Drosophila melanogaster: one gene and its partner. The protein of the gene in region 2 interacts with the protein of the main gene of each other region in a pairwise test. Each region holds a gene or a part of one and is shown on either strand. Other genes may lie near its edges.

Evidence for each region.
Region 1: the proteins of ric8a (region 2) and Frq2 interact in a two-hybrid assay, tested with the Drosophila melanogaster proteins (one study listed by BioGRID).

The regions. Positions count from the first base shown.
Region 1 is NC_004354.4:18,175,267-18,180,846, reverse strand, and holds the start of Frq2 (frequenin 2), read right to left. Parts: upstream 3,236-5,580; 5' UTR 2,756-3,235; intron 2,322-2,755; exon of another isoform or gene 2,163-2,321; coding exon of another isoform or gene 1,413-2,162; exon of another isoform or gene 1,375-1,412; intron 1-1,374. Other genes in the region: andorra, read left to right, coding at 1,413-2,162.
Region 2 is NC_004354.4:9,254,069-9,259,832, reverse strand, and holds ric8a (ric8a), read right to left. Parts: upstream 3,666-5,764; 5' UTR 3,537-3,665; coding exon 3,456-3,536; intron 3,391-3,455; coding exon 1,750-3,390; 3' UTR 631-1,749; downstream 1-630. Other genes in the region: CG17754 (uncharacterized protein), read right to left, coding at 4,113-4,205, 5,484-5,720. UniProt on the Drosophila melanogaster protein: Chaperone that specifically binds and folds some, but not all, nascent G alpha proteins prior to G protein heterotrimer formation, promoting their stability and activity.

The DNA of each region.
Region 1 (5,580 bases), 8.9 Mb from region 2:
GCCAAACTATAAAACTATAAAGCTGAATATAAAATTTGCCACTTTTAGTGGATAATAGTTATCGGAACTTTAGTGCTGCAAACTCAACATGCCCATTAAAATGAATATGCCATAAAAGCGTATGGCCCAGTTCGGTTTTTCCGATTAACCGGATCCCTGATTGTTTCACTTTTCTTGTGTCTTTGCCATTGAGCCTATCGTGATTTGGCTCTTTTGGGCTCTGGGCTGCTTTCAGCTCCTGATTCCTAATTCCTTCTGGCTTCTTGCCTTTGTGCCTTGTGCTCATCATCATTTGCCGGGGCAGAGAAATCGCAATGGAATCAGATTTTTGCCTCTTTTCTCGAAGGCTAATTGGTGCCCAAATGCCGCCTGCCGAATGATTCTGTTTTCCCCACGAAATGCGAATGGGAATGTAAATGGGGACCAGGATGACGGGGTGACCAGGGGGCGACGTCGTCCATGGGGGCAACTAGCTAAACAACAATTTTAATTGCGACCAGGCAGAGTCAACGTCTGGGACTCGGGCCAAAGGCAAATGAGCGAGCGCTCCAAGAAATATGAACGAGGTCAATGATTGTTTACACTACCCTCGAATGCTGTTTACTTCGGCCCGACGACAGAGGGGGTGAGGGGGTAGAACGGGGGGCATTGGTTGTGTGTGTGGGTGTGTGTGGCAGGTGGCAGTTGGCAGTTGGGGTGGTGGCACGATGGGGTTAGTTCTAGTTGCCAGACACCTTGGAGGCAGCGCCTGCAGCGAATGTCAGTTTGTGGAAAAAAACAAGAAAATGCAGTAATTAGAAAAATACCTAGATATAATTATTTTTCTTATCTTCGTTTGAGTGCATGCAAAGAAATTTAATTCAATGGGGGGTCTTTAGTTCACCACTTGGCACTTCTAAGAAGATTAGCTATAAAAAACTGAGTAAGACTTAAAAAACTTCGTAAGGTGTCTAAAAGTATGCAGCACTAAATTTCTGCATAGAATAAAATAATCATATGTGTAAGCAAAGTTTCGTTAATATTTTTGAATGGGAAATTAAAGTATCCAGTCCACTGTGGCGACTATTAGGCCTCGGGCACATGTGTGTGTGTGTGTGTGTTAGAAAGTGTGTACAAGTATGGAATGCGAGCAAGGGAGAAGGAGATGAAAAACAAAAAGAGAGCGATGCATAAACACTTGCAGGTGCCACTACAGATGCTTCAGTTGTTGCCTCATTTACGTGAACTGTTTAAGGTGAGAACATAAGCTAATCAATAAACCTGCGCGATGAGGTGGTAGTTATGCTCATCCCCAACAAGTAAAGCTACCGGATGGCCAATCAAAGTAGTCGACACGTAGATATTCAGTATTTTCTACATTTTCCACCTTTACACAGTACATAGTATCCAAAATTATTCCCTTCCAGCCCAAGATGAATCGATATCATGAACTCAGCATGTCGTGGGAAATGCTGCGCGATCTCTACGAGACCTGGCTAATCCTGGCCATTGGCATGTTGGTGCGCTGGAATCGCTGGCGTCCGTTGATCCATGGCATGGTATCGCCACTGGATCCATCGCTTAAGCACATCGTGGGCGACAATGAACGCTGGGCGGGAGTCTACTTTGGATGCGGCACACTCATGACCATCATGCAGTATCGATCACTTTGGGTGCGCCGGTGTCGTCACCGCGTCCACATCCTGATGCTGCTGTCCGAAATAATGCTACTGCTCCAGCTGGTGCACTGGATCGACTGCCAGCTGTGGCAATCCTTTCTGAGCCTCTTCGAGGAGCTCTTCATCGCCCTGGGACGCGGTCAATGGGGCTCCTGGATCTTTTGCTGTCCGGCCGCAGTGCGCAATCTGTTCCTGCGTGGCGATGTCTTCGATGTGTTCCGCTTGCTCGCCTCGTTCGCCATCTTCGCCGTGGCCCTAAACTCGACAGCTGGTGAATGGCGGGTGTCCTTGGACTTCCTGCTAATCGGCTATTTCCCAAAAACTTCACTCTGGAGGCAGTCGCTCTATGTGGAATATAGGAGTAAGGGTTTCGAGCCCACGGGCTCGTACGTACTGCTACCACTTCCCCCACCCGAGCTCCTCATCTACAAGCGTATGTGTCGCCTGTGTCTGCAGCAACTTGAAACGAATCCCACTCACCAAAAGATTCAGATGCCTTGTTAAACGAAGGAGCAGTGCAGTTCATTCCTGGCTTCTTTATTTACTGTAGCTGATACGTTTAAATTGAATTAGTTTTCGCATCTTTGGCAAATTCCAATTATACATATATTTTATATCTCTGAATATTCATACAATAAAATCTAGCGTGTGATAAGCTCTTAGAAAGTTTTGATGGCCATCAGTTCTTACTTAGTTCTTTTTCGAGTACATGCATCACTTGGTGTCCTAATGTGATCTTCATGTGATTGATAGCCACAAGCTGCTATAGCGGCGCATCGCAGAACCCAGAAACTATGATTAAAATCGCATTTTCCATGATAAACCGAGGAATGCCAAAGTCATCGACCTAAAACTGTCGTAATAACCGCAGGGTATGTGCCCAAAGATAAATGCAACCGCACGTGGACCGCAAATCGAATGCAACTGCAAGCCAATTGTCAATCGCAAACTGCCACCCAAAATACCACCCATCCATCCTGACCATCAAAACCACCGCGGGAAATCTGCCTAATTATCTGGTTAGCTGGATTCGGATTGGGATTGGGATTGGGAGGTTAGGGGTGATATTGTTTATCCGGGGCTAAGTAACGACATACCTGGCACTCATTTGTGTGGTCATCAAACGCGGCGGTGGGTCTGCGGATTGGTTCGTGTTTGCGATGACAGTAATCGACTGATTAAGCGTAATTATGGATGTAATTTCCACTCAAATATTGAAGGCGAAACAGCAACAAACAGCAGCCAACAATGGACTATAAAGGCCTTTTCACTTTGGCTTTAAAACAAATTGGCTAGCAGTTTAACGCATTAGCGCGCACACTTAATTAGAATTCCCTGGCTGTTTTTTTTTTTTTTAAATTTTTTTTTTTTTTATTTGTTATTTGGCGTTGCTTTTGCTGGCCAAAGTGGGTGGCAAATGGGCGGGTGGTGATTTCCAATATGCACAGCGCACGCGAGCAACCCAAAAAAACAAACAAAAATTCGGAAAAAAATTAAAATAAATAGAGGAAGCCGAAAAAAAACAATGAGGAAACCGAACCGAAACAGAAAATCGAGTCGCGAACATGCAACTTGTGCGAATGGCAATCGAATGCCAGCAGTCGCACAAATGGCCTGGGCCTCAGTCGCAGTCGCCGTCGGCGTTGGCGTCGACGTCAGCAGCGCAGTCGGCGTAGGGATGGGCTGAGGAATTGAGCAATTGAAGAATTTACTTTGCATTTCTTGCAGGTGCCGCCTGTCGTGGTTGGGCTGTGACTAATTATTCAGCAGGTTGCTCTTCCTCTTGGCCTCTGCCTAAATATAGTAAATAATAAAAATTCTGGCGAATAACAAAAGGCAAAGCGGCGGGCAAATAAACAATAAAACGCCTGCCCCTGCTACAGATACAGATACTATATCTAAAGATACAGATAAAGATACGGAGGCGGGCCGGCAGTCAAATCAAACGAACCGTTTATTGGGCTGCTGCTGTTCGTATTTGTATATATATATATATACATGTGTTTAGATCGGTTGAATATAACAACACCTAGGCGAACTCTGCAGACACTATCGCCAAATAGAACCTCTTTAATCCATTCATTTCGATTTTTAGAACTTAAAACACTCAAGTCAGCAAGGAAAAGGCCAAAAGGTCAAATTACTAATTGAATTTAACTATTTAAATATTTCTTAAATCTAATAAACTACTAGGTTTATAGAAATTGGCAATGCTCTTTATTACTTTACAGATGCTAAACCACTTTAAATATTCTCCTTATGTGTTTATCTGTATTGCATTATTTTTTTGTTTTAATTTTTCAAAAAATGTCAAATAAGCGAAAACATTGTCCCCCTTTCACAGAATCGGTATCAATTTGTTTGCCTTTTTATTGCCTTGGATCATCTCTATTCGCTTCGAATAGAGAACAAAACTAGAAGAATCTTTAAGATATTTTTGGCACAATCTTATCATCCAATCTTATTCTACACTCGAATTTAAATAGTTTGTTTTATATTACGCTGGCCAACGGATCAAAAAGCCGCCAAAAAGCAACACTTTCAATATTATAATTAAACATTTGATTTTCGTTTAAATGCCCATAAATCTTCTGTATATACTGTAGTTGTTAAGTTGCCAACAAAGTATTTAAGTTCAAATTCCTGCCAGCATCGAATGCTATTCGAAAAGTAATCTATAATTAAATGCATTGTTCTTCGAAATGAAGCACAAGTTTATAGCTGCTCATACAATACATACACATTGATTGGTTTCTCAATTGCTCTATGTATTCCATCAACTAAATGGTCTCTTAAGATCTCTTTGGAACCGATTAGATTGGTTGAAGTATCTGCCTGCCGATCATTGATTATGACGATCAACTGACGCAGAAGCAGCATTTCCATTTCCCGTTTCAATTTGCAGTTCGCCAGCGAACGCGCGAAGAATAAATTCGCAATTGTGCACGAAAGAGGGGGCCTTAATGGTCGCACCTAAGAGGGGCGCTTTTTTTTGGGGGGGCGGGAGGAGGGGGATAGGGCGATACCGCGTCATCGACGTCGATTGCGGCAGCAACGCCCGCAGCGACTTACTCACTCATGCTGCCTCGAATGCGATGCCGATGCCTAAAGAATCGAATTCGAGACCGAAACAGGCCAATTATAATTACTGTTTATTTATTCTGGTTGTGTAGGTCAGGGGCGTGCCGAAAGGGGGGGGGTGGGTTCTGTAAGAATTGTTTGTTCGAACGTTTGCTCATTGTTTTCGCATTTATTGCTATTTTGTTGTATAGATACATTCGGATACAGATACAGATACAGCCAGAGATGATGCAGCTGCAGATACAGAATCTATTTTGGTGTTTTTAATCTGGCAGCCTTTTATTATAAATAGTTGGGCTGCCTAGATAAACACGATGTCGACGCCTCTGTCGCTGCCTCTGCCCGCTGCGCTGCCTCAGTCGACGCATCTGCGGGCAAAATTCATTACTAATTCATGTCCAATTTCCAACGCCCGCGGCACGCACAAAAACCGCCAAAAAGGTAATCAAAAATGCGCACCCCCGCCACAAAAGTGAAAAACGGCTAAATGAAAATTATCAAATGTCAACACTTGTGGCAAAGGCCCAGCCATGGAAATTATGAAAGATTAAGTGCCTGGCTGGGAAATATTTCCAGCTCATTTGGGCAAGAAAATCGGACTGCTTTCCCTGAGAATCTAAACAGCCAAAACTAAGGAAATTCATTTAAATTAATTGGGCTTAAGATTGGGCTTATAGATTTTCCCATGTAAAGAATTAAATTGGTTTCTTTTCCATGGCTCATTTTCGTATGCCTCGTAGTCCCCAGTTATTTCTGCTTATTGAATTTATCTTAGCCAAATTTCGATGGCGTTCAAGTGAATTATTGTATCATCAATTTGCCGGACGAAGCACTCGAAGCA
Region 2 (5,764 bases):
GCCAGCAGATGGAGATTTTGCAGAGGGAGGAAAGGCGGCAGATTAACCGGGAGCTCAAGCTAAAGGAGAACCAGTGCCGCCGCATTGAGGCGGAGAGCGAACCCTTGAAGATAGAAGAAAAGGTGTGTGGGCATACTGAAAAGAAGGCGGATGAATCGTTGTCGAAGGATCAGCAGAATGACTCGATAAAGCTGATCGGATCGGAGCCGGTGCATTCCCCGGGGCGGGACAACGACAGCAAGTATGCCGACTACTTTCTCAAATACACCCCCCCGAAGCAGAAGGAAAAAGATCTGGAGCGAGCGAATGAACTCCAGCGGCACGACCGCATATACGAGCTGTTTTGGTTGGATGAGCGCAGGGAGGAGGAAAAGTATCGCCGAAAATTGGAACAGAATGACCAAGAAGAAATCCCAAATGACTGCCACAAGGCGTGCCGCCATCGCCACCACAAACCCAGCTACATTGCTCGCTTCGATCACATGAGGCCCATGGAGGGCGACATTCAAGAGGCGGACTCCTCGCCGGAGAGGAGTCGATCCTTATAACTCTGATTCAATATTAATAATTAAAATTTAGTTTCAAAGCATTATGAATCGGAAAATATGTGGCTTGATTATTATAGCATGACCTTGATTGATTTATTTTATTGTTAAGCTTAGGATAGCCGTACATTTAGACTCGCACAAAAAATATTACTATGTTTTGATGTATATAAGTTGATCTACTAGTATCATCGCTATAGCAAATTGAACACAATAAAGCTCTAGATAGGATTTCTTGTATATAGATCAAAGACACGTAACTTTTAGAAAGTTTTGGAATTATTCCTTTACCCTATTATGCGGAATTTACAACATAGATTAGACATGGACATGAACAATGTGCGGATGGGATAGTTGGTTGCATGGCCGTGTCGACATCCACAACTTGATGGCTCTTCAAGTGCTCCTCACTGCCGTCTGTCATAGATAGACTTTGTAGTTCGTTTAGTTCGATTCTAGAGCTATAGTTAGTGTTACACACATGCAACATCATTTGTAATAGAAAACTGAGAATCGGAATAAGAGCTTTCATTCCTAGATCCTAAGTGTATAATTGGAATTTTATAAATATAATACATACATGCACTTAACTATTAAAATGAAAAGTCGTCCTAGTTGTCCTATAGTGTGGGCGTGTATTTAAATGAATTCAGATTTGATGTTCATCTGCTCCCTACTTCCTGAAATTGGAAGACCCCAACGATTGTTTTGCATTTAGTTATTTTTTTCAAGCCGTACGTTATGGGATGCCATGGTATCAACTTTAAAAGTGCGAACAATTCACGGGACAACAAAATAACAACGAAGTGCGTAATAACTTAATAAGTACAACGTTCTACATGGTTAATGGTTAAAGAAATTCTGTAAAAGTTGGGAGACCGAACTTATCTACGAATTGAAGCTAATTGGATAGATTATAATTATTTTAGCTAACACTAATAATAATGGCATTTAGACAAAAGCTGATCACTGAAATCAAAGCCAGATTGGATAATTTTTGGTTAACAAATTGTAGGTTATAATGAGATGTTCTCGAATATGTGGTATAAAATATATAAACTATGTAAAAAAAAAAATCTGCTTTTTGAACACATTCGAAGCTACATTCGACAGTAAACTTATGGAATAAATGCAGAGTTTAAGGTGATTTTTTGGTAGCTATTTGGAAGTTGTGCCATAGCAGATCCCGCAATACATTTGTGGCTTAGGTTTTCCGCTTCTGGTCGAGCTGCTGCTGCGGCAGCTCCTCCTGCAGCTGAAGGATGTGTTCCAGCGGCTGCGGGCGCCCGTCCTTGTCTATCATCGCCGGCTTTACGATCCCGCCCTGACGCAGCTGTTCGATGAGATTGACCAGCTGCATAGCCTCGTATTCCTTCTGCTCTTCGCTTATGTCGTCCAGATGCGACTTGCTGCGCGGCTCTACGCAGCCAAGGACTGGATTGATGCCCTGCTGCTGCTGCTTGTACTCCTCGGTGTCGCTGTCCTCGCTGTCGGAGGAGTAGTCGGTGCCCTCCACTCGCCGGCAGTCGAGTATACCCCGCTTGGCAAAGAGCCCGGCTGCGTTGCCATAGCCCGTATATTTGATCATCCTGCCGACATTTTCTTTGCACAGTACGAACAGCAGTTCGGCGGACAGATCTCGTAGGATCATCGCGGGCAGTGTAAGGAACCGACACAGATGATTGCGCAGCTCCTGACCAACCTCAGGTCGTTGACTAACGTCCCGCAGCGGCGGCAGAATCTCCTGGCGTAGATAGTGACGCATAACTCGATCGCTGCGCGCACATTTCACCAGCACGGTCAGCACTGGGGAAAGCAACTCATGCGAGCTAGCCTCGGCCTCCTGTTGGGCCAGAGATTGCCTTAGGTAGCGGAGTAGCACGTCCAGACTCCGAACATTGCGCTTTTCGAAGCACTGCGAGCAGCACTCACGGGGTTTGGCTCCCGCTCCAGCTTCTGTATCTTTTTCCTTCTCGTTGTCCTGCTCTCTTTCCTTGTGCGACTCCAACTCGGCATTGGAGCAACGCAGGGTGAGTTCTGTCAGGCAGCTGCCGGAGATGTTTGTCAGCAGATTGATGGCGTGTGTGACGACGGCGCGATCCTTTTCTGTGGCCAAGTCGCCGAAACGCAGGAGTAGCTCCCTCAGCACTCCCGTCAAATGCAAGCTCTGGATTTCGTATTCGTTGGGGCTCTTGTCCGGAGCACTGGTCACGTTGAACATCACCTTGAGCAGTTCGCAGATGATGTTCAGCTGCTCCTCGCCAACTGAGTCTTCGCCCAGCTTGTCGTCCAGCCACTTAGTCATGTAGGTGAGGCCATTCAGATCGATTTGGAGGCGAGAGCGCGCCGCTGGCTCTAATGCAGTGAGCAAGAAGAGGAGCTTCATGTCGTAGTACTCCAACGCACAGGGATGTCGCATCGAGGACGCCACCCTCTTCAGGATTGCATCCAGGCAGTGTTGCCGCAGGCACTGGCGCCTGCAGTCGGAGCTCTGGTAGACCAAGTTGCACAGACACTTAAGTGCTTCGGCAATCACCTCCGATTGGGCCTGGCTGGGCTCCAGCTGGGGCTCCTCGCGTTCCTCCTGTTTAAGCTCGTCCGGCGTGGCTGGCAGCTTTAGTGAGCCGGCCTCAATCCTAGCCAGCTTCAGCAGGGTGTTAACCTCCTGTTCGATGTAGTTCGTCTGCAGGCTGAACTCGTCACGCGTTAGAATCCTCACCGTGTTCAGGCACTGCGTATGCAGATGACTAAGCCGCTGGTCGTCCAATATGCCGAAGATGGCCAGCCACAGTTCGTGCCACAGGTTGTCTGTGCGGAAACTGTCGAAGACCAGCAGATCCGCATTCTACGGCAGAAGGAAGGGTATATAATCTGGTTGAATCTTCGGGAGAAACCGCTGGCAGTGCTCACCTTTGTGTTGAATTCGTCCAGGATGGCGGGAATGTGGTCCGCCTCCTTGGCCTCTAGTCGTTTCAGGTGCTCCGTTTCCATGTCGCCAACGGTGGCCGTTCAAAGCTGTCGTTGAGTTCGCTTTTTAGGTCGTTTAAGTTAATTTAATTAATTTTTATAATTTCCGCCAGTGTGACCGCACCTTTGCCGTTCTAATCTAATATACTACGGGGCGTTGCCAGATATCTCAACCATCGAATGCCAACTATCGGTACGCCCTTACCACTAATATTCTAAAAAAAATCGTATTCCAATCAGAAAGTTAGATAATTTAAATATATTATTTCAAATATTTAAATACAATCAAGAAACTTGAAGTTACCCATTTAAAAGAGCAATCCCCGCTTAACCGACAAAATAGTATTATTTTATATGTTCGGTTTTTCAAATGCAGCGAATAACCGTTTAATTTTCGATTTTATTACAAAAAATACATATCCAGTGTATACATTTCGCAGTGTATGTTTTGTGTAAAAATATATATATGTGTAAATATAAAATAATACGTAATATTTGGATTGTTTTTTTTTTTTTTTGACAAGTTTTCTTGTGTTTTTTCTTTTAGCTTGGCTTAAATGTTTATAGTTTGCTTTGTTTGTTGTCTTGTCTGTCTAGCATTTACATGTTATAGTAGTCGACAAACTCGACACATCTGGGACGCCTATTATAGCAGATTGGATCCAATCTCACTGGCTTCCACTTCTTCTTTTTCTTTAATTTTTAAATGCAATCGAAGGGAAAGGGAAAAGAAAGAAATAAAAACATAATAAACAATTAGAAATAAATGCTCGCTGTACGCACACACACATCTAGTATTTACTAAGAATAATATCGGTACAAAATGACGATGCAAAAGTCGAAATATAATCATTCCATGGGACAAGTATTTACTAACTAAAACTAAGCAATTGCAGTTGTCTTTTTGATTGTTTTCGTTCGTTTTTTTTTTTTTTGATTTTGTTTGTTTTGTTTTTCTAATGGTTTCGCACACTTCACATGCAAAAATGAGCAATTTTGGTTTTTGGAATTTTGGCTTGGCGCAGTCTTGTCAGGATATAAGTATGTGTATACGATTTATGCATATGGAATGTGGGCCCGTCACCGGTGCGAGCGAGATGGCGTGCAGTGTGTGAAGCGTACGACACCATGGGGTGTGAGTGGGATGGAAAATTTTTAGAAACTAGGGTATCGTGTAAAATACGTTGGTTAATTACAGCTAGGGATCGATTTTAGATTGGAACTGGAAGCCTCGCAACATGCACTTCTTAAATCCTATGAGATTTCACTGATTTTTTTATTTTTTTTTTGATTTACTTATTTTTAGATTCAAGCCGAAAAGAGCAGAGTTATGGGGAAAATACTGGGTTGGGGTGTGCGGTGCGGAAAGTGGGTGAGTTCTGGGTGTATGCCATACCACAGGGAATCATGTCAGAACACAGACGAGAGCGAGGCGAGGCGAAGGTGAGCTGCAGTTTCAAACTTGCCGGGTTAGGAAACACGAGCAACAACCACGAGCAGCTCACAGCAACAGTAACAACAACTACTATAGAACGGGTGCAGTGCTCTCTCGCTAAGTGCATCGCTTTCAGACCACGCTACTTATAAAACTACTTTTGATTATTGCCTCCTAAAGTTCCTTAATATCTACAAGTAAATGGAAATGCTTTACATGAACTGGTAAATTTGGGAAAATATCTTTTGTAAACGTGGAATGTTTGGATTTTTAAGATTAATGCAAGAAAGGTATAAAATCTACAGTTTGTGTGCAGCATTAACTGCCGAGCGAAACATCTTGACAAATTTACTAACATTAAATGCAATTTATAAAGCTCTACCCAAATAATGGGTATCTAATAGGAATTTCGCGTATAAATTTGGCTGGGTGCTAAATGCAAATCGTTTCCAAACATCTGGCCCTTCTATCCGAAATAAGCGATGCAATTAACGAGCCTACACTGCAACCGAAAGTGGATTGGGTTTGGACTAAACTGTAGCACTGGGCGGCGGCTGTTGAGCCGCCGGCGGTATGACATTCGGAATCGCCACCACACAGGCGCCGGCCCTTGCGAAAGCCATGGGCGCCAGCTCGTTCCATCCATTGCGCACCGGGTCGTACTCCTCGACGCTCTTCAGCGCATGATTGCCATCGTAGCCGCCGACGACGATCAGGCGATCGCCCAGCAGGGCACAGCCGATCGCGTCCCGGCCCAAAGCCAGTGAGCAGATCTGTGGAATGAGATGACATCGATTAGAAGTGAGGATGAGGTTGA